Linked DNA regions of Macaca mulatta. The protein of the gene in region 2 interacts with the protein of the main gene of each other region in a pairwise test. Links are inferred from orthologs where the notes say so. Each region holds a gene or a part of one and is shown on either strand. Other genes may lie near its edges.

Evidence for each region.
Region 1: the proteins of RGL2 (region 2) and RAP1B interact in a two-hybrid assay, tested with the Homo sapiens proteins (2 studies listed by BioGRID and IntAct). The link is inferred for Macaca mulatta from reciprocal best matches to the Homo sapiens genes RGL2 and RAP1B.

The regions. Positions count from the first base shown.
Region 1 is NC_133416.1:75,773,464-75,777,118, forward strand, and holds part of RAP1B (ras-related protein Rap-1b), read left to right. Parts: intron 1-1,625; coding exon 1,626-1,766; intron 1,767-3,655. UniProt on the Homo sapiens protein: GTP-binding protein that possesses intrinsic GTPase activity. Contributes to the polarizing activity of KRIT1 and CDH5 in the establishment and maintenance of correct endothelial cell polarity and vascular lumen.
Region 2 is NC_133409.1:148,994,069-148,996,834, forward strand, and holds part of RGL2 (ral guanine nucleotide dissociation stimulator-like 2), read left to right. Parts: intron 1-80; coding exon 81-378; intron 379-646; coding exon 647-898; intron 899-980; coding exon 981-1,084; intron 1,085-1,191; coding exon 1,192-1,276; intron 1,277-1,356; coding exon 1,357-1,425; intron 1,426-1,646; coding exon 1,647-1,721; intron 1,722-2,343; coding exon 2,344-2,376; coding exon of another isoform or gene 2,377-2,493; coding exon 2,494-2,615; intron 2,616-2,709; coding exon 2,710-2,766. UniProt on the Homo sapiens protein: Probable guanine nucleotide exchange factor. Putative effector of Ras and/or Rap. Associates with the GTP-bound form of Rap 1A and H-Ras in vitro.

The DNA.
Region 1 (3,655 bases), on a different chromosome or scaffold from region 2:
GCCTGTAATCCCAGCACTTTGGGAGGCCAAGGTGGGTGGATCACTTAAGGTGAGGAGTTCGAGACCAGCCTGGCCAACACAGTGAAACCCCATATCTACTAAAAATATAAAAAAATTAGCCGAGTGTGGTGGTACACACCTGTAATCCCAGTTACTCGGGAGGCTGAGGCAGGAGAATAGCTTGAACCCAGGAGGCGGAGGTTGCAGTAAGCCAAGATCGTGCCACTGCAGTCCAGCCTGGGCAACAAAGCAAGACTCCGTCTCAAAAACAAAACAAAAAAAAGTATATTGCACTTTTTGTAATTGCAGTGGGTCATTTAAAAGTTTAGAAAATGTGTTAGAAGGAAAATTTTCAGTCTCACTAGTACTTTTAAAACAATATATTACCATATTTCAAATAATACAGGCATACATTCATTCCTCAGCAGCTGTGTGAAATATTTTGATTGAGGCTGGGTGCGATGACTCATGCCTTGTAATCCCAGCACTTTGGGAGGCCAAAGTGGGTGGATCGCCTGAGGTCAGGAGTTCCAAGACCAGCCTGGCCAACATGGTGAAACCCCGTCTCTATTAAAATACAAAAATTAGCCAGATGCAGTGGCAGGCACCTGTAGTCCCAGCTACTCAGGAGGCTGAGGCAGGAGAATTGCTTGAACCTTGGAGGTAGAGGTTGCAGTGAGCTGGTAACGCACCACTGCACTCCAGCTTGGGTGACAGAGCGAGTCTCCATCTCAAAAGAAAAAGAAATATTTTGATTGGTATCTGTTCTCCTTCCAGGTATTTATAGACAAACTAGATTTGTAGGTATGTGAAGAGGAAGGGAAAATTTGTTGTTGGTGTATGGTATTCATTCAGCTAATGTTTGAATACCTGATACATGTCAGTCACTGTGTTCTTACCTTCGAATGCTCTCAGTCTAGCGAAGAAAAAGTAGTATGGGAAAATGGGATGGTGTAGATCATGCTAATGGAGCCCTACAGAACTACAGCATTTGAGTCATAGCTGTATAGATTAACTTGGCTGATACAGTTGAGGTGCTCTTACACATTATGATGTATTTTTAAAAGCTGCCTTTAGTAACTTTTGGGGACGGGATATTTCTGTTCCACTTGAGTATATTTTTTATATATAAATCTACTTTGGTGTATGATTTTAAAATAAGAAACCTATTTCTGGCCAGGTGTGATGGCTCACGCCTGTAAATCCTAGCACTTTGGGAGGCCGAGATGGGCAGATCACGAGGCCAGGAGATGGAGACCATCCTGGCCAACATAGTGAAACCCCATCTCTACCAAAATACAATAGCCGGGCATGGTGGCACCCGCCTATAGTCCCAGCTACTCTAGAGGCTGAGGCAGGGGAATCACTTGAACCCGGAAGGCAGAGGTTACAGTGAGCTGAGATCGCGCACTGCACTCCAGCCTGGTGACAGAGCAAGACTCTGTCTCAAAAAAAAGGAACTAAAATGCCAGTTTTTCAAATAGTATCTTGTCATAGATTGTAATTTTAACAAAGTTACATAATACTACAATATTCTTCATTGAGCTATAATTATAGACTTCGAAATTGTAAAAATAACTGTCAAAACATTCTTGTTTTTTAACGTTCCTTTCTTTCTATTGTAGGAACAATTTACAGCAATGAGGGATTTGTACATGAAAAATGGACAAGGATTTGCATTAGTTTATTCCATCACAGCACAGTCCACATTTAACGATTTACAAGACCTGAGAGAACAGATTCTTCGAGTTAAAGACACTGATGATGTAAGCTGACTTCCTAATAAATATATTTTATTTCAAAACTCTGATTATAATTGTATAAGTCTAAATTTAAATTCATTTTAAAGCTCATGTATTTTGGTGGGGAGGGGGGTGGAGGTTTTTTTATACTTTTTCCTTGAAAGGCAAAAATACCCATACATGTTTTCAAATATATATCATGTGGAAAGTGAGAAATTTCCTCATTTGCCATTATCCTGTGAAAATTAAATGTTCAAGCCTGTAATCTCAGCACTTTGGGAGGCCGAGACGGGCGGATCACGAGTTCAGGAGATCGAGACCATCCTGGCTAACACGGTGAAACCCCATCTCTACTAAAAAAATACAAAAAAAATTAGCCGGGCGAGGTGGCGGGCGCCTGTAGTCCCAGCTACTCGGGAGGCTGAGGCAGGAGAATGGCGTGAACCCGGGAGGCGGGGCTTGCAGTGAGCTGAGATCCGGCCACTGCACTCCAGCCTGGGCAACAGAGCCAGACTCCGTCTCAAAAAAAAAAAAAAAAGAAAATTAAATGTTATACCCTTCCTTCTTTTTTTTTTCTTTGAGACACAGTCTCGCTCTGTCGCCCAGGCTGGAGTGCGGTGGCCCGATAGCTCCGCCTCCCGGGTTCCCGCCATTCTGCTGCCACAGCCTCCCAGGGTAGTTGGGACTACAGGTGCCCGCCACCATGCCTGGCTAATTTTTTGTATTTTTAGTAGAGGCGGGGTTTCACCATGTTAGCCAGGATGGTCTCGATCTCCTGACCTTGTGATCCACCCGCCTCAGCCTCCCAAAGTGCTGGGATTACAGACATGATCTACTGCCTCTGGCCTTTTTTTTTATTTTTATTTTATGAGACAGAATTTCACTCTGTCTCCAGGCTGGAGTGTCACTCTGTCACCAGGCTGGAGTGCAGTGGCGCAGTCTGGGCTCACTGCATCATCCACCTTACTGGGTTCAAGCAGTTCTCCTGCCTCAGCCTCCTGAGTAGCTGGGACGAAGGCGCATGCCACTATACCTGGCTAATTTTTGTGTTTTTAGTAGAGACGGGGTTTCACCATGTTGGTCAGGATGGTCTCCTGACCTCAGGTGATCCACCCACCTCGGCCTCCCAAAGTGCTGGGATTACAGGCATGAGCCACTGTGCCCGGACAATAATAATAATAATAATTTTTAAAGAAAGGCGCCGGGCGCAGTGGCTCAAGCCTGTAATCCCAGCACTTTGGGAGGCTGAGACAGGCGGATCACGAGGTCAGGAGATCGAGACCAGCCTGGCTAACACGGTGAAACCCCGTCTCTACTAAAAAAAAAATACAAAAAACTAGCCGGGCGAGGTGGCGGGTGCCTGTAGTCCCAACTACTCGGGAGGCTGAGGCAGGAGAATGGCGTAGACTTGGGAGGCGGAGCTTGCAGTGAGCTGAGATCTGGCCACTGCACTCCAGCCTGGGCGACAGAGCCAGACTCCGTCTCAAAAAAAAAAAAAAAAAAAAAAGAAAGGCAACAAATACATTAGATTCTAACATTATTAATTTAGGTGCCCCTTCAGAGTCTACCATAATGGAGTTTAGTTCCTCATCACACTAAATACAGCAGTGGTTCTCAAAATTGATTTTGCATCAGAATCACCTGTAGGACGCAGTGGCTCAAGCCTGTAATCCCAGCACTTTGGGAGGCAAAGGCAGGTAGATCCCCTGAGCTCAGGAGTTCAAGACCTCCCTGGGCAACACAGCAAAACCCCACCTCTACCAGAAATTTAAAAAAAAAAAAAAAAAAAAATTAGCCGGCGTGGTGGCGCGTGCCTGTGGTCTCAGCTACTTGGGAGGCTGAGGTGGGACAATTGCTTAAGCCTGGGAAGTAGAGGTTGGCAGTGCGCCCAGATCACATCACTGCACTCCAAC
Region 2 (2,766 bases):
CCCCTGTTTCTTAATCTCACAGTCCACTCTGCCCAGGCTGCAGCTTTACCTCTCACCCTTGGCTGATTCCCTTCTCCCAGGGTAGCCATCTCTGTGCTGTCAACCTGGCTGGCCTCTCACCCTGAGGATTTTGGCTCTGAGGCCAAGGGTCAGCTTGACCGGCTTGAGAGCTTCTTACTTCAGACAGGGTATGCAGCAGGGAAGGGTGTTGGGGGGGGCAGCGCTGACCTCATCCGCAACCTCCGGTCCCGGGTGGACCCTCAGGCCCCCGACCTTCCTAAGCCCCTGGCCCTCCCCGGCGATCCCCCTGCTGACCCCACGGATGTCCTGGTGTTCCTCGCTGACCACTTGGCCGAACAGCTGACCCTGCTAGATGCGGTGAGACCCTGACCTCTGGCCCGTATGCCCCCTGACCCCTTACTAACCTCTCCTTGACTCCAGATCCTTTCCTTGCTTCCACCCTTTCCTGATCCAGCTCCTAGCCTCCTTCACCTACCATTTTGACTTTCCCTTTTTCCTTTTGGTTGTTACCCTTCAAACCCTGTGCCCCTCTGGTTCCTTGGCCACCTGAGATCCTCAGATCCCTAATATTGGAAGGCTGACCTCACTTGACTATGAACTTTAACCTCTTACCTCTACCCTGCAGGAGCTATTTCTCAATTTGATCCCCTCTCAGTGCCTGGGAGGCCTGTGGGGTCACAGAGACCGGCCAGGACATTCTCACCTCTGCCCATCTGTCCGAGCTACTGTCACACAGTTCAACAAGGTGGCAGGGGCAGTGGTTAGTTCTGTCCTGGGGGCTACCTCCACCGGAGAGGGACCTGGGGAGGTGACCATACGGCCACTCCGTCCCCCCCAGAGGGCCCGCCTCCTGGAGAAGTGGATCCGCGTGGCGGAGGTGAGAAAGAAGATTGCCCCACGGTGGGTGGCCATGGCATGGAGAGGGCTCCCATAGCCTTAGCTCTCTTTGACCCCCACAGGAGTGCCGGCTGCTCCGAAACTTCTCTTCAGTTTATGCTGTGGTGTCAGCCCTGCAGTCCAGCCCCATCCACAGGCTTCGGGCAGCCTGGGGGGAAGCAACCAGGTGGGGAGGCTGAGGCATTGGACTGGGGTGGGGGTTCCTCAGAAGGCAGGGAAGAGGGGGTGACAGAGCCAGGCCTGTCCTCAGGGCCACTTTTCTCCCTCCCCCAGGGACAGCCTCAGAGTCTTTTCTAGCCTCTGCCAGATTTTCTCCGAAGAGGATAATTATTCCCAGAGTCGGGAGCTGCTCGTGCAGGTGAGAGCCTGGTTTGTGGCATTCCCCCCTCTCCCTGCTCCCTACTGCTCCCCCATGTCTCTTTATTTTGTCACCACCAGGAGGTAAAGTTGCAGTCTCCTCTGGAGCCACACTCCAAGAAGGCCCCGAGGTCTGGCTCCCGGGGTGGGGTGAGTGACTAGCTGGGTGGTGGGCTTGGGGGTTGTGATTATGAAGGGGTGAGGAGTATGTTTTAGGGGAGCAGCCTGAAGGATGGGTAAGGGAGGCACAGAGGGGTGAGGGGTGAGGAGAATGAAATCTGTTCTCTGAGGCAATGGGGAGGGCAAGTGCGGAGGGACGGAGGGCCCTCACATCAATGGCAGGCACGTCTGACCCTGACCCCTGACCTCAGGGTATAGTCCCATACCTTGGCACCTTCCTGAAGGACCTTGTGATGCTGGATGCAGCCTCCAAGGATGAGTTGGAGGTCAGTGGTGTGTGTGTGTGTGTCATTATGATGATGTAACAAGTGGGCTGCAGGGTCCGACAGATCCCCCCCTTGCAAGGGGCTGTAAGGCACAAATAGCTGAGTGTAGGACAAAGCCAGATCTATTTCTGTGCCAAGTCGCCTCAGTGGTCTGTAAATGAGAAACTAGAAATAGCATCTACATTGATCTGTTATTATAAGGGTTAAATGAATTGTATTTGTCAAGCGCTTAGAACATGCCTGAAACGTAAGCACATCTAGGTTTTGTGATGGGGTCCTGCTCTATTGCTAGAGTTTGTTAAATAAACAAATACTGAGACCTTGGGCAAGTTCCTTATCCTCTCTGGATGAGGAATCCTATCCAATTGGATACTATCCAGTCTTCTCATCTGCAAAGCAGACTAGTTGTCTACCTGAGATATTAAATTTCAAGGGTCAAGTGCAGTGCTTAGGCCATGATAGATTGAGGGGGAAGGCAGGGAGGGATGGAAGAGTCAGAGAGGCTAGAGGGAAGTGATTGTGAGTTGGATGTGGCTGTGTGTGTTTAAGAGAGGGGATATTCTCTCTCTGTGGCCTGGAAGGTAGTGTTAGAACTTCCACCCCATCCCCATTTTCCTCGCAGAATGGATACATCAATTTTGACAAGCGGAGGAAGGTGAGTGGAGTGCCTGGGCTGGATGCTGGACTTCTCAATCCATGTTCCCGGAAGGGGAGGGGGGAAAGTCAGGTGTCCCTGAGTTTTGGCTCCTGCAGTTTGAGGGCTCCTTCCCAGGAGTTTGCAGTCCTTTCTGAGTTGCGACGGCTCCAGAATGAATGTCGTGGCTATAACCTCCAACCTGACCATGATATCCAGAGGTGGCTACAGGGGCTCCGGCCACTGACAGAGGCTCAGAGGTGACTGGCGGGTGAGGTTGGGACTCTAGGGCTCTGGCCAGGTGTGGGGGATTGGTGTCATGTCCTGAGCTCTGTCTTTTGCCCCCTAACCCAGCCATCGTGTATCCTGTGAGGTGGAGCCACCTGGTTCCAGTGACCCTCCTGCCCCACG